4 linked regions of the Neurospora crassa OR74A genome follow. The protein of the gene in region 1 purifies or fractionates together with the protein of each later gene. This does not show direct contact. Links are inferred from orthologs where the notes say so. Each region holds a gene or a part of one and is shown in the gene's direction. Other genes may lie near its edges.

What was found. The genes of interacting proteins can lie anywhere in the genome.
Region 2: the proteins of NCU06217 (region 1) and NCU07070 purify together in Saccharomyces cerevisiae (affinity purification with mass spectrometry, with the first as the bait; 3 studies listed by BioGRID). This does not show direct contact. The link is inferred for Neurospora crassa OR74A from reciprocal best matches to the Saccharomyces cerevisiae genes NOP4 and DBP9.
Region 3: the proteins of NCU06217 (region 1) and NCU09380 purify together in Saccharomyces cerevisiae (affinity purification with mass spectrometry; 3 studies listed by BioGRID, with this or other methods). This does not show direct contact. The link is inferred for Neurospora crassa OR74A from reciprocal best matches to the Saccharomyces cerevisiae genes NOP4 and PUF6.
Region 4: the proteins of NCU06217 (region 1) and NCU08595 purify together in Saccharomyces cerevisiae (affinity purification with mass spectrometry; 4 studies listed by BioGRID, with this or other methods). This does not show direct contact. The link is inferred for Neurospora crassa OR74A from reciprocal best matches to the Saccharomyces cerevisiae genes NOP4 and RPF2.

The regions. Positions count from the first base shown.
Region 1 is NC_026503.1:1,936,366-1,940,292, forward strand, and holds NCU06217 (nucleolar protein 4), read left to right. Parts: upstream 1-1,127; 5' UTR 1,128-1,302; coding exon 1,303-3,621; 3' UTR 3,622-3,785; downstream 3,786-3,927. Other genes in the region: NCU06216 (nuclear condensin complex subunit 3), read right to left, coding at 1-588. UniProt on the Saccharomyces cerevisiae protein: Required for 60S ribosomal subunit synthesis. Probably involved in the processing of 27S rRNA to produce mature 25S rRNA.
Region 2 is NC_026506.1:261,756-265,812, reverse strand, and holds NCU07070 (ATP-dependent RNA helicase dbp-9), read left to right. Parts: upstream 1-1,257; 5' UTR 1,258-1,454; coding exon 1,455-1,940; intron 1,941-2,018; coding exon 2,019-2,883; intron 2,884-2,942; coding exon 2,943-3,239; intron 3,240-3,305; coding exon 3,306-3,688; 3' UTR 3,689-3,850; downstream 3,851-4,057. Other genes in the region: NCU07069 (pre-mRNA splicing factor), read left to right, coding at 1-375.
Region 3 is NC_026501.1:3,514,745-3,518,809, forward strand, and holds NCU09380 (pumilio domain-containing protein), read left to right. Parts: upstream 1-1,265; 5' UTR 1,266-1,440; coding exon 1,441-1,678; intron 1,679-1,753; coding exon 1,754-3,555; 3' UTR 3,556-3,781; downstream 3,782-4,065. Other genes in the region: NCU09381 (RWD domain-containing protein), read right to left, coding at 125-741, 813-879. UniProt on the Saccharomyces cerevisiae protein: RNA-binding protein involved in post-transcriptional regulation. Component of the ASH1 mRNP which transports the ASH1 mRNA to the distal tip of the bud, where the ASH1 protein is translated and targeted to the daughter cell nucleus.
Region 4 is NC_026501.1:9,517,966-9,521,332, reverse strand, and holds NCU08595 (ribosome biogenesis protein), read left to right. Parts: upstream 1-1,170; 5' UTR 1,171-1,272; coding exon 1,273-1,286; intron 1,287-1,352; coding exon 1,353-1,461; intron 1,462-1,531; coding exon 1,532-1,854; intron 1,855-1,924; coding exon 1,925-2,504; 3' UTR 2,505-2,867; downstream 2,868-3,367. UniProt on the Saccharomyces cerevisiae protein: Required for biogenesis of the 60S ribosomal subunit.

The DNA.
Region 1 (3,927 bases):
CCTAAGTAGACTTGACCGTAGCTTCTGGAAGAGGTCGTCGTCAATCGCGTCGAGGGAGTTGATGATATGAGATATGAGTTGCGTTGACCGATAGCGCACAAACTTGTCCTTGGCGATCATCAAGGGAAGAACGGTTTCCATCAAGTGTCCGGTAAGCCGGGTGCTGGGTGTCTCGGGCATGGTGCTGGCGTCCGGGTCGGCCTCGCCGAGAATTTCGTTATCCTTCTCGACGGCATGCCGCAGGAACAGACCGATGAAGCGCACCGTCTTCTCGCCGACTCCCTCGCTCTTCTTGATGGGCATGACGCGCAGGACACAGCGTACAAACTCCTTGTTGAAGTCATCTTCCTCGAACTCGTCGGCCTCGGCGGGCTTCTTCGTACTCGTCGGCTCGTAGCAGCATGCTTCTTGTATCTTGCGCAGGGTCACGGCCAGCTTGCGATGGGATGCCGTGGTCTTTTGGGCGTCGCCGAAGACGGTCGCGACTTGTGTGCGTAGCGCATTGTCGGGAGTATCCAAGGGTGCTTCTGGTACGACCGAGGTCTGGCGCGCCCCGCGTGTCGCTCTCGTCGATCTGCCCGGCGCCATGGTCGGCAATGACTGTTGGTATTAGCGGGGCCTGCACAGCGGCAGTCCTCTATTTGTATGCGATATGGAAAAGGTACAAGTAATCCAAGCCCAAGATATAAGAAAACAAGCAAAAAAAAAAGACGGATGTGAGGTTTCGTAGGATGGCTTTTGCAACTGAGCAGGAGCCGGGGATGAATGAAAGTGACACTATTCGCGAATGAAGGTTGTTTTGTTTACTTTGCACTGCAGGTGGGCTGCTGTGAATTTCCTGGCGGCCCCGTCGTCACCTAGCGGGAGGGACTGTCTGACCTGCTGCAGAGGGGTCGCGCTGCTCGCTGCGCTGTATGTCGCAAAACGTATCGACCCTGCTGGTGAGCTTGAATGGTCTGTGCGCCCCGCCTTTCCTTTGGTGTGGATTGTGGAAGCGCGCGAAGAGAGGAAGTGGAAGAGACGGGCTCAGGATCCCGCTGCCAAGCTTGAGGGAAACGATAAGCTCCCTTGTACGCTCTTATCGGGACTCCACTTCGAATATTTTTCTTTGGGCGAAGGGTCCAGAACTGTTGTCGCTGGGGGAAGCTGTGCACTCGGCGATTCCCATCCACCATTTGCGCCTTGAGAGGGTCTGTTCTCTTCACTTTTGGTTTGATTTGGCTGCTTTCTCATCTCTCCCCTTCTTTCAACAACAACACCACCTAACAAACACATAACATAACAACCCGATTGCTTGCAATAATGGGCAAGGACGGGAACAAGAAGCGCCAACGCGAGGTGGACGAGGAGATCCCAGTTGATCCCGATGCCATCAAGGATTCCGATGTTGCTGCACAGAACCCCCCAAGCAAGAAAGCTAGAGTTGAATCCAACCGCTCTCTCTTCATCCGACAGCTGCCTCCAAGTGCCACCGCCGAGTCTCTGACCGAGTTCTTCTCCCAACATTTCCCTGTGAAGCATGCCACCGTCGTCCTCGATCCCAAGACCAAGACCTCGCGCGGCTATGGTTTCGTCACCTTCACCGATCCCGAGGATACCCTCGAGGCCAAGGCCAAGCTCAACAACTACCTGCTTGAAGGGAAGCGCCTGAAGCTCGACATTGCCGAAGCCAGACACCGTGATGCCAAGAAGACCGGACCCGTTGTGTCCAAGGTCGCCGAGGAGAAGCAGAAACGTGCCGAAGCCGTCGCCGAGGCCCAGAAACCCAACAAACTCATCATCCGCAACCTGCCATGGAGCATCAAGAAGCCTGAGCAGTTGGCCGAGCTATTCAAGCCATATGGTAAGGTCAGGTTCGCCGACTTGCCCAACGATAAGGGCAAGCTCTCTGGTTTCGGTTTCGTCACCCTCCGTGGTCGCAAGAATGCCGAAAAGGCTATCGAGGCCGTCAATGGCATGGAGGTCGATGGCCGCCCATTGGCCGTCGACTGGGCCGTGGATAAGCAGACATGGGCCCAGCAGAACGGCGAAAAGTCAGACGACAAGAAGGAGAAAAAGGACAAGAAGGTTAAGGAACCCAAGGACAAGAAGACAGAGGAGGAGGAGACTGCTGGCATGACACAGGAGGAAAAGGATCTTTACAACTTCTTCAAGAGCCAAGGCGAGAACCTCGAGAGTGAAGACGAGGAGGACGAAGACAAGGACAAGGAGGACGAGGATGAAGACGATGAGGACAAGGACGAAGATGATATCGAGGAGGACGAGGAGGACGAGGAGGATGAGGAGGAGGAACAGAAGCCCAAGCGGCTAACCGACAACTCTCTAACACTCTTCATTCGCAACCTACCATACACCACCACCGATGAGCAGCTGAAGGCGCACTTTACCCAGTTCGGCGGCATCAGATACGCCCGAGTTGTCAAGGACAAGGCCACCGACAGGCCAGCCGGTACCGGTTTCGTGTGCTTTTTCAACGAGGAGGAGATGAAGGCCTGCCTCAAGGGCGCCCCCCGCCATCAACCTACCACCACACTCGTCAAGCACTCCATCCTTCAAGACGAGACCGTCGATCCGGAGGGCAAGTACACGCTCGACGGGCGCATCCTTCAAGTCGCCCACGCCGTCTCCAAGGACGAAGCCGAGCGTCTCGCGGAGGCCTCGGCCGGTAAGAAGGACAAGGACAAGAGACGCCTGTACCTCCTGAACGAGGGCCAAATCACACCCTCGTCTACGCTCTTCAAGGTCCTTACCCCGGCCGAAATCAAGATGCGCGAAGCGTCGGCCAACCAGCGCAAGAAGCTGATCCAGTCCAACCCGTCGCTGCACCTGTCGCTCACCCGTCTCGCGCTGCGCAACCTGCCGCGCAACATCGGGTCCAAGGAGCTCAAGGCGCTCGCGCGCCAGGCCGTCGTCGGCTTCGCCAAGGACGTCAAGGAAGGCAAGCGCGCGCCCATCTCCAAGGAAGAAAACTCGCGCGGTGGTGAGCAAGACAAGGAGAACGAGCGCCTCCGGAAGCTCAAGGGCAAGGGTGTCGTCAAGCAGGCCAAGATCGTGTTCGAGACGACCACGGGCACCAAGGTGGACGAAAAGGTCGGTGGCGGCAAGTCGCGTGGCTACGGCTTTATCGAGTACTCGTCGCACCGCTGGGCGCTCATGGGCCTGCGCTACCTGAACGGGTTTGCCGTCAAGAACGAGCTGGGCAAGACGCAAAGGCTGATTGTCGAGTTCGCGATCGAGAACGCGAACGTGGTGCAGCGGAGGAGACAGGATGAGGAGAAGCAAAGGACGATGACGCCCGCGGAAAGGAAGGCGGAGATGGAGGAAAAGAAGAGATCCAAGGAGGCCAAGGAGGCATACAAGGCTGGAAGGAAGGCGGATAGGAAGAAGGGCGCTAAGCCTGAGAAGCCTGCTGGGTGGAACAAGGGCAAGGATAAGAAGGGCCCGGCTGAGGTGGCCAAGGCCGCAGGCGCCGCCCCGGCGAAGGAGGTGAAGGCTGAAGATATCAAGGTGGATAAGAAGGGCAAGAAGAGTGAGATGGTCAAGGAGGCCCTCATGACCAAGATCCTGGCGAGAAAGAGGCAACAGAGGAAAAAGAAGGCTAACATTAGGGGCAAGAAATAAGCCTGGGCTCTTGGAGTTTACCTAATGTAGGGAGAGAGTGTGTGTTTTTCTGCTGCTGGCCCGGAATGTTAAACCATTTATGTTATTCTTAGGGCCTTTCCTGTTTGCTATCTAAGTATACCTTTATCACGATCAAAAGCAATCCCTTAGCGTTTTCCAACACCTCTCAGTCTATTTCCGCCGTGGACACTCGTGAACTCTTTCGCTGGCAGTTCTTAACCAAGACAACGCTCAATAATATTGTACGCCCTCTACATGCTATTATTATATAATAGAACGCCTGTTTGCCTGCTTTGTTTTTCTCGC
Region 2 (4,057 bases), on another chromosome or scaffold:
TCGCCGCGTGGCCGCCCATACCCCCCTCCCATAGACGATTACGACCGCCGTGGACCCCCTCCTCGCGGATACAGCCCCCGCCGCGACGGCTACCGTGATGGTTACCGTGACAGGTCGCCCCCACCAAGGCGCGAGTACTACGACGACAGGAGAGGTGGTTACCGCTCGCCACCCAGGCGCCCGATCGATGACTACCCGCCTCCCCGCGGACGTTACGATGACCCGTACCGTGCTCCCCGCGATTACCCTCCCGACCCGTACATGAGCGGACGCGGAGATGCTTACGATCGCCGTGCTCCTCCCGTGGACTTCCCTCCGCGTGACCCGTACCCTCGCGAGCCATACCCGCCGCGTGACTATGGTCGTCGTTACTAGATGCAGCGGGCGGCTCGAGGAGCTTCGAGGACTGGTATAGGGAAAAGGCGAAGTCAGCCCAATCGGTCCTTAAGGACTCCGGACGCTGAGTTGAACTTGTCTGAAACAGTCAGGCCGAATAGCAACGACACGGAACACTGCCGTGTGGTGCTCCAGAGTTGGACGATGATTGACGGAGAGGCTCCTGTAACAGATGGATAAAGGTCATGAGAGATGAATGCTGAAGTATTTCCTTGTCATCTGACTTTCACGTTCTTATGGTTTGGTAAAATGTTGGCGTCTGAGCTTTTGTGTGGTGACAGCCTGGTATGGAAGGTTCGCGCAAGTGTAGATTGGTGTGGTCAATTTCGTTTCGTGTTGGATGGATAGCTTGATTCTCAGCGCATGTTACTTGCCTCTCTGGTTATGTGGCTCGAGCGAAAAGAAAACGAAGAATGGCTTTTAAGGATTATGGCTCATGTTAAGATGTATTTCTTTCCGTTAGTAGGATTTCATCAAAGTTAGTATAGTAGCGAGCTTGATTTTGTCCAGACGTGATCTTGAACGTGATTGTAAGGTATGATTCTGAGGCCATTTTGAGCCTCAACGGCCTCGTAGGGCTCATGACTGAAGGCTGACTAGTGTAAGATCGTGGACCTGCGTTGAAGGTGGCAGGCAGCCCAGCCCAGGGCATATGATGGATCCCCCTGGTCGCTGTGGGGGTTCAAGTTGTCGGATTAAGCTTTTGTGGGGCAATGAGCTGCCGGTGCGCTAGCGCCTATGCCCACTGTGAAGTGGACTGGTAGCGCTGGCCAATCAGTGGGTGCGACGCCTGGGCGAGTCCCCGTCGAATTTTTTCCCAAACTTTTTTGGTCGATTCGAGGAATTGGCATCCATCCGTTTCGTAGCTTCCATTGAAGTGCAGCCCCTCCTCCTCCACTTCCAAAAACATTCTTCATCTACCATCTTTCTGTCCATAGACCATACCACGGCCAACTCTAGTCGACTGATCACCAACTTTCACCGTGTTATTAACTTACAATTACTGTCGCGCAAGACCAGTTTAATACCAAACTTCACAACCTAGATACCCCGACACAATGGCCAAGCGCAAGTTGAACGAGACGGACGAGCCGTCAGTCGTGACCGAGCCTCAGACCCAGAAGAAGACCAAGAAGTCTTCAACCGAGAAGAAGGAAAAGAAGGAGAAGAAGTCCAAGTCGCAGAGTGTCAAGCCACAGGAGGAGAAGCCCGAAGCGACCCAACAACAAGCGCAGCAACAAACCGAGGAGGAGCAAGAGCTCGAGCAACAACTAAAGGACGAGCAAAAACAACAAGACGAAAAGGACGAGAAGAAGCAGAGCGAGAAGGACGATGCCGACTTGACCTTCTCCGACCTGGGTCTCGACCCTCGCCTTGTGCAGGCCGTTGCGAAACAGAGCTTTGAGAAGCCGACGCTCGTGCAAAGGAAGGCGATCCCGCTTGCGCTGGCGGGCCAGGACGTGCTGTGCAAGGCGAAGACAGGATCGGGTAAGACGGCGGCATATGTGTTGCCTGTGTTGAGCGGCATTCTTAAGAGGAAGGCTGTGAGTTACCTTGACACCCGGGAGAAGAAGTTGTGTTGTGACAAGGTTGGATGCTAACGAAAAGGAAACCACAAACAGACCGACCCAACCCCCTTCACCTCCGCCCTCATCCTCGTCCCTACGCGCGAACTCGCCGACCAAGTCCACAAAGCCATCGATGCCTTCTCCGCCTTCTGCACCAAGGACATCCAATCCGCCAAGTTGACCGACAACGTGTCCGACGCCGTCCTGCGCTCCCTCCTCGCCAATGCCCCCGACGTGATCGTCTCCACTCCCGCCCGCGCCTGGCACAACATCGAGTCCGGCGCTCTCAGCGTCGCCAAGCTACAGTACCTCGTGCTCGACGAGGCCGACCTCGTCCTGTCCTACGGCTACGATGAAGATATGGAGAACATCGCCCGCTCGCTGCCCAAGGGCGGTGTGCAGACCACCATGATGAGCGCCACTCTCGTCTCTGACGAGCTCGACACGCTCAAGGGCTTTTTCTGCCGCAATCCCACCATGCTGGACCTGAAGGAAGAGTTCAGCAACGAGGACGAGAAGCTCACCCAGTTTTACGTCAAGTGCGGCGAGGATGACAAGTGGCTCATCAGCTACCTGATCTTCAAGCTGCAGCTGATCAAGGGTCCCTGTCTGGTGTTTGTGGCGGATATCGATCGCGCGTACCGCTTGAAGCTGTTTTTCGAGCAGTTTAGCATTCGCAGCTGTGTGCTGAACTCGGAGTTGCCGATTAATACACGGATCAAGATTATCGAGGAGTTTAACAGGGGTATTTATGATATCATCATTGCGTCGGATGAGAGGAGCGAGGTCTTCTTGGAGGACGAGAAGACTGAGGAGAAGAAGGAGGAGCAAGGTGAAAAGAAGGAGGGCGATGAGAAGAAGAACGGCAAGGGAAAGAAGAAGAAGGGCAGGAGGGATCAGGAGTATGGTGTTTCGCGAGGTAAGTCTGTCTGCGTTTTGGTCCTACATGGTTCTGGATACTAACCCAAATGATCCCAGGCATCGACTTCAAAAACGTTGCCGCCGTTATCAACTTCGACATGCCCACTTCTTCCTCTTCCTACATTCACCGGATAGGCCGCACCGCCCGCGCCGGTCGCGCCGGTATTGCTCTATCGATGGTCGTCCCTCACGATCTCTTTGGCAAGCACAAGCCCACCAGCATCAAGCAGTGCGAGAAGGACGAGAAGGTTCTGGCCAAGGTGATGCGCCAGCAGGCCAAGCTCAACCGCAAGTTGGAGCCGTACAACTTTAACAAGGATCAGATGGAGGCTTTCCGTTATCGTATGAACGATGGTCAGTACCCCCTTTCCCCCTTATCATTTCGTCCATTTGACCATTCATTCTCTAACTGAGCAATAGCCCTCCGCGCCGTAACAAAAGTTGCCATCCGCGAAGCCCGCACCCGCGAACTGCGACAAGAACTCCTGCGCTCCGAGACGCTCAAGCGCTACTTTGAAGAGAACCCGCACGAGCTGTCGCACCTGCGCCACGACGGCGAGCTCGGCACCAAGATGCGCCAGCAAGCCCATCTCAAGCACGTGCCTGATTACTTGCTGCCCCAGGACGGCAAGAACGCTCTCACGGAAACCCAGATTGGGTTCGTGCCGTTTAAGAAGCAGGGCGACGATAAGAAGACGAGAGGCAAGAAGGGGGCCAAGGGTGGAAAAGGTGGGCATGGGAAGTATAAGAAGGGACCTGGGGGGAGGAAGAATGTGTTGAAGACTTTTAGGGTTAGGAAGTAGAGGGACGGCGTCTGGTAGATGAGATGGGAAAGGAAAAGGGGTCTGCATTTTCTGGTGTTTATGTGTGTGTGTGTGTGTGTGTGTGGCTTTTTTTTGGTTAAAAAATACCTAGGCTAGGCTTGGTGGTCTGAAGGGGAATCAAGATATCATTGCACATCTACGGGATATCAAAGAGAAGTATGAGTCCTGAACGTTAAGCTGTTGATCCCATTTATGGGTTGGTATCGGATCAAAACGAAGGTGAAATGGCAATTATAAGTTTAAGCTCACCTTCAAGCTCGCCTTCAATCGAAGTTCATCGAGATTTAAAGGAAACGTGAGTAGGTACATGGTGCCTTCCAAGGCCGAGAGAACATCTAGGACGGGACG
Region 3 (4,065 bases), on another chromosome or scaffold:
AAAAGTAATGTTCAGGATTGGTTTTCACATGGGTTAGGTATACTTAGAGCGGATTAAAGCCTACAGCAAAGAATTAGATAATTTTGGCGAACGTGATAGAGGGCTTACGATTTGTCTAACGGTCCTAAACCGTGAGTTTCTGGACCTCTTCCACGGGGACGTCATCATCGCCTTCCAGGTCCTCATCACCCTTCCCAGCCAAGCCCCTCTCCCAGAGTTGTTTGCCCGTGAGCTTGACAGGCTCCTTTATCCTTGCCTTCTTCATCTCGGCCGCCTTTTCCTCTTCCTCCTTGATTCTCTGATCTTCCAGTTCCTGCAAGAAACTCTCCCTCCACTTCAAAAAGGTTTCGCGATTGACGGGAGTGCCCTGGAACTTCTTGTTCTCTTCGCGCTCCGCGGCAAGGGCGGCCTCCTCTTGCGCCTTGATGGCAGCGTCCCTCCGCTCTACTGCCAGTTGCTCCGCAGCATCCTTCAACGCCGACACAACAGTAAAGATCATGGCCATCCCCAAATTCTCTTCAATTGTCTCTTGGATACCTTCGAGCAGCTGGAACCGATCGTCGGCAATGTTTATGTACTGATGGGGCGGCGCATTTGGGGCGGACGCAAGCTCAAGGAAAGGTGGCTTGTCGGGATAGTCTTCGGGGTACCGTACGGTAAGTACCATGCTTGGTGTTTCTTCGGCATCATCATCAGGAATGTCCAGCGTGATAGTAATCCGGTATTCGGTATCGGAGATATCTAGACGAGTCGAGCTTGGGTTAGGACAGGCCCATGCCTGAACGGCAACCGATGTGGGCGAACAATCGAACCTTGGATCTCATCTGGGAAGATGGAGTCGAGGACTTCCCTCTCTTCAATTTGTTCTTCGCGGCCCATGATGTCCAATCGGTAGGGCGCCTTTCAAGTTTGCAGTGTGCTGGACGACATAAAACGTGAAAGACTCCTTCCAAAAGTGGGTGCTGGCAATGTTGACTTTCAGGCGTTTACTAACCTAGAGAAGAGGACGGGAGGGGCAACCAGACGGCATTGCAGTGACTGTAGCGTCAGGTGCAGGCCAAACTCCAAAACGCGAGCGCGGCTCAATCTATGGTGGGGGTCCTGCCTGGGTTCCTTGTTATATCAATGGACAGTTCTAGACAGTGTCGATCAAGTCGCCCCACCACAGAACCCCGGAAAGCTTCTCACCGCCCGGCAGATGCCAGGATGCGGATCCAGAAATTTTCAGCGGAAAACGTGCTACAGAATTTCCAATTCAGAGGCTTCAGATACAGGGCACTCCAAAGTTTCGGATTCCCGTCTGAATACCTGCACTTTCACATATTCCTGCTCGACCATCACCTTTGAACCAGCGCCCACCCAGTACGACGTCAACACGAGCCCCCCATACCTAGATCAATCCTTCATATCCCGGAGCAACACAGACATCGCATAGCATCAATGGCGACCAAGTCGTCTTCAGCAGCCGCTGCCGGCGGAAAGAGAAAGGCGTTCGGCAAGCATAACGAGGATGGCCGTACAAAAGCAGTAAAGACCACTTCTGGCAAGAAACACATCAAGGCCGAAGCCGAAGACAATGAATCCTCCGATGAAAGCTCAGACGCCGAGTTCCACACAGGAGAGACCACAACATCCACGCCCAATGAGTCCGGCAATGGCTCCAACGAGACCAAGTCTGGTACGTTGTCTCTCTTTACCATATCTGCCCCATGATGACCGAACCTCGCTCTGTTATTTGACTAACACAACGCAGGCACAAGCTCCAGGGAGGCGCACGCCAAGCAAAAACAACTCGCCCAAGAACGCAAGAACGCGAAGCCACTGGCCGATGAGGTGCACCGTACCAAGAAGCTGTGGGAGAAGCTCCGTCGCAAGTCGCATGTGCCTAAGGAGGAGCGCCAACAGCTCGTTGAGGAGTTGTTCACCATCATAACTGGCCGCATCAAGGACTTTGTCCTAAAGCACGATGCTGTCCGTGCCGTCCAGACCGCCGTCAAGTACGCCACCCCGGTTCAGCGTAGGCAGATTGCGAAGGAACTTCAAGGAACCTATGCGCAGCTCGCCGAGAGCAGGTATGCCAAGTTCCTGATCGGCAAGCTTCTGGTGCAGAACGACAAGGAGATCCGCGACATCATCGTCCCCGAGTTTTACGGCAAAGTTCGCAAGCTCATCAACCATGCTGAGGGTTCCTGGATTCTGGACGATGTCTACCGCGGTGTTGCGACCAAGGAGCAAAAGGCCAACCTCCTTCGCGAGTGGTACGGTCCCGAGTTTGCTCTGTTTAGGCAACCCAAGGGTACCGAGGTCACTGGCGATCTCTCCAAGATTTTGGCTGACGAGCCCAGCAAGAGGACAACGGCGATGAAGTACCTTTTTGACATGGCCAATGGCCTCATTCAAAAGAAAATGACTGGTTTCACCATGCTCCACGACGCTCTGTTGCAGTACTTCCTCAACCTTAACCCCGAAAGCGAAGAGTTCAAGGAGTTCTTTGAGACTATTAAGGAGGATGAGACCGGCGACTTGCTCAAAAACATGGCATTCACCAAGTCTGGCGCCCGCCTCGTGTGCTTGCTCCTTGCGCACGGAACCGCCAAGGACCGCAAGCAGCTGCTCAAGGCCTACAAGGACACCTACCAGCTCATGAGTGGTGACAATCACGCGCACGCGATCATCCTCGCCGCCTACGATCTCCTTGATGACACTGTCCTCACGTCCAAGACGATCTTCTCCGAGATTCTTGGCAAGAATGAAGAGAAGGATGCCGAGCACGTCATCTTTCTCGCTAACGACCTCAACGCGCGCACGACGGTATTATATCTCTTTGAGGGAATGTCCAAAGCGTTGTTCCCTGCCAGCCACGCCACCGACCTGGAGATTCTGAAGGAGATTCACGAGATCCGCACCAAGACCAGCAAGAAGGACGCCGAGGTTAGGCGTAAGGAGTTGGTGACGGCCATGTCGCCTCAGCTCCTTGCGGCCATCGCAAGCTCACCCGCCGACCTGGTGGCCACCTCTTTCGGTTGCCAGTTTGTTACTGATGTTTTGCTTTCGGCGACTGGAGATAAGAAGGCCGCGTTGGAGGCTATTGCCTCTACTGCCGGTGGCGATCCCAACGCTGAGGCGCCCAAGGATGCCTACCAAGCTCTTCCCCCTCACATCTCGACAACCATTCACGGTGGCCGCATGTTCAAGACACTGATTGCTGGCGGCCGGTTTGACAAGGCCACAGGCAGCATCCAGAAGGTCGACCCCCCGCTCAACTTCGCCGACCTTCTCTATCCCGTCATCAAGGACCACATTGTACAATGGGCCACCGGCCCTAGCTCTTGGACGGTGCTAGCTATGCTCGAGGCTTCCGACTTCTCATCGAAGAAGGAGCTCCTCAAGACCCTCAAGTCCAACAAGAAGGCCCTTATCAAGGCCGCAACTGAAGCACCGGCGTCGAAGAAGGAAGAGATGGAGGAGAAGCCAAAGGCTAAGAAGGGCAAGAATGCTTCTGCCCCCAAGGGCAACCAGGGCTCGAAGCTCCTTTTAGAGAAGCTCGATGCCTAGGTTGAGGAAATTGTAGGCGTCGCATGGCTATAGTGACAAAAGTGGACGGTAGCCACAGGTTGACTAAATACCCCTTTTATGTTGTTTACTTTGTCAATGCGATTTTGTTGGGCCCCGCGTAATTTGCGGTTGACTGATAGCCCTGTTTACAAGTCTGGACATGTTATATATGATTGCATAGAGAAAAGCTTGCTTCCAGACTTCCCTGATGGTTCAGATATGACGCTTGAAACAGGCCGTGGCCTACTTGGAGTGAGGTAAATCATAATTAACCAGACAGGAGCGAGACAACTTTCTTATATTCGCCATTCCGGACCTTGGAAGGCCTTATTATCATACGACCTTCACATTGAACCACTTGTACCACAATTTTCGAGGGACACAACCTCCCCATATCAACATGGCGTGTAGAGGCAAAGTGCTGTGCAAACATTTTGACTGCGGCACCAAGACCGACATATATCGGGTTCACCGTCACTTGATGGCTAAGTGCCGCTTGGAAACCGAATA
Region 4 (3,367 bases), on another chromosome or scaffold:
CAAACCTCCTTCTCTCACCACACCCTCACGGGAACATGCTTCCAACGAGTTCACGAGTCACGACAGTTTACTTGCATCCCAGGCTTCTCAGTCGCGGGAAACTGCATAGAACTTTTCGAAAATGCATTCCTAATGCCCGAGTCTCCGAACACTCCACATGTACATACATACATACAGCTGCGGACAGTTTAAGTTTCAGTTTCAGTGGCATGGGCTGGGCTTGACGAGAATGCAATCGCCCTTTTTCAAAACCGTTGAAAAGTAGGTAGGTAGCTTCCCGATGGCATACATACCTAGTGACGGCGGAGGCGGAGGCGGTGAAAGGAGGAGTGCCGAGGATCCATGGAACAACGGTAAAAGAAGCCACCACGTGAATGGGATGCGTTCCGGAGGTTGTACGATACATGCAAAGTATGGATGGGATGGGTATGGGCTGTTTGGACGTGATGGGGAAAGAGACCGGGGAGTCTCATCAGGTTGGATGGATATCCTACATTTATGGTCCAGTCAAGACGACCACGAGAGAGAGAGGGGACATGGCGAAATAGATCATTGTGAGAGGAGGGAAGCTATACTGAACTGCTTCATGGTGTTAGAGAACGACAGGCCAGGTAGGTCCGTAGTAGGTGGATGAGAGCATTCTTGATGCTCGCCGGGAGCAATGACTGGAGAAATCTGGTTTTATGTCAGAGTAGAACGGTTTTAAGGAATCTGTATTGTGAACCCGAAGTGTAGAAGAACACCATCCCAATATGTTGGCTTCGTGTATTCAGAATCTTCTCAAGTGTGCTGACCTTGTAAGAGTGATGCCAGAGTTTTGTGATGTTGCTGACTTGGCAATCATATTGCTCAATGCTTGTTTCCCAAAGAGCAAGTGATTATCGAGTGATCAGAACAAGAATATGGAACTCAAGGTTGACTCCATCACCAACCTAATTGTGATGAGACGGCAGAAATGGAAATGATTTTGGTTGCCGTTGCAGTGACGTTGAGGCGTGAAATGGAATGGAACCTAACAGCCCGTGAACCCCTGAACGACAGGCAGGGGAAAGCCAGCGCCCAGTGGACGAGCGGACAATCTTGACCCCACCTGCCCCACAAAATTTCGAGTTCAAGGTCTCCTCTTATCGATAAGCGCCGTTCTGGAATTTCTTTGCTCGACCATCACGACGACGATTTGCAGGTGAAGGAGACAGTCCCCAGTCCACATCACCACCTTGCGGTACCTATCCAATCCACCCACTACCGTCATCGCATAACCAGACCGCCAAAATGCTCCGCCAAGTGTACGTCAATCGATCATGACAATGGAACATACCGAACATTAGCTGACAGTTCTCTTCTCCGCACAGCAAGCCGCGGACAGCCCGTTCCAAGAGGGCGCTCGAGAAGCGTGCCCCCAAGGTCAATGAGAACCCCAAGACCGCCCTCTTCCTTCGCGGCACCACCTGCAGCCAAGTCGTATGTCACCTCCTCCATATCCTCTCCTCCTATATATGATGGTATCATCAAAATCTAATACAGTCCGCAGACCCAAGATGCCATGCAAGATCTCTACTCGCTGCGCCAAACCCACGCCAAGCGCTTCCACAAGAAGAACCCCGTCCACCCCTTCGAGGACGCCAGCTCCCTGACCTTCTTCTCTGAGAAGAACGACACCTCGCTCATCCTCTTCGGCTCCAGCAGCAAGAAGAGGCCCCACACCATCACCTTCTGCCGCACCTTCGACTACAAGATGCTCGACATGCTCGAGTTCTACCTCGACCCCGAGACCTTCCGCAGCATTGCCCAGTTCAAGACCAAGAAGGTGCCCGTAGGCACCAAGCCTTTGATGGTGTTCGCCGGTACTGCTTTGTATGTCCCCCGATTCTTGTGACAAAGAGGAAGGAGTAGTGAATGAACGTCAGCTAACCGAGTACCACAGCGAATCCCCCGTCCCCAACGCCTTCACCACCGCCAAATCCATGCTCATCGACTTCTTCCGCGGCGAGCCCTCAGACAAGATCGACGTTGAGGGTCTGCAGTACTGCGTTGTCGTTTCCGCCGACGAGCCCACTTCCTCCTCCACCGATCCCTCGGACCCCTCGACAAAACCCACCCTCCACCTGCGCGCCTACCTGATCCGCACCAAGCGTTCCGGCCAGAAGCTCCCCCGAGTCGAAGTCGAGGAGCACGGCCCCCGCATGGACTTCCGCCTCGGTCGCCTCCAGCAGCCCGACGCGGACATGCTCAAGGCTGCGATGCGCAAGCCCAAGACCAACGAGGAGCGCACCAAGAAGAACATCAGCATGGACAGCATCGGTGACAAGATTGGTAGGATCCATATGGGCAAGCTGGATCTCAGCGAGTTGCAGACGAGAAAGATGAAGGGTCTCAAGAGGAGCAGGGATGTGGTGGATGAGGACTTTGATGATGCGGATATGCCGATGGAGGGCGTCAAGGAGGTCAGTGACAGGATCGTGGGGCCGAGGAAGAAGAAGGCGAGGGATGTCGTTGAGTTTTGAGTTGAGCAAGAGTAGGGAGACGGGAGAATGAGGGGTTGAGGGGATGAAGAAGAAGGCAGGCAGGGAGGAGGTTTAATCTTTTTTCTCTCACAATTGTTGCGATCATCCACCAAGACACAAGGCGTTTTTGGGAGTTTTTAGTTTTATTACTTTACTTTATCTTATATCATTGGCTGCTGCTGCTCTTGGGGAAGATGAACATTCATGCCAGATCAGATCATCAACAGAAAAGAAGAGATGACCAAAGCTGGAGTTATTGATGGATGATGGGTTGTTCGTGAAGTTGCCTTGCCAAAGCTTGTAGACCTAGACATCTATCTAGCATATACGTGATATTTATACCAACCAACATATGGGACCATAGGATCAACCGATCGACCGGCCGAATTTGCCGCTACAGCTTTGTTTGGAAGAATCTAGTATTGTCAGCACTCGCTGCCTACTATCACATGGCACTCATGCTATTTCCCTCTTCTACCTGGATACCTTGCTACCTTGCTACCTTGCTACCTTGCTACCTTGCAACTATCTATAATCATAGAAAAAAGACAATGCCATAATCATGTACAACCATAGGAAAACCTATGAACTATTCCCTGTTTCGATCTTTGGTTTGGAAACGTCTATAAGGGGTGTCGGTGAGGCAGTCTGCAGACTGATTTAGTACAAAATTATGAAACCAAATATCCATGCCGAGAACGATTGATTAGTGTATATGTTGACTGACTACAAGGTTATGAATGAAATGCCTGTACCAGAAATTGTGTTTGTTAGAGCAGAGTTGTATCAATCAATGATGGCTTCCTTATGCTTGTCTATAAAGAGACTAAAGCCAGTCCCACCAAAGAGTTAAGACTCGAGAT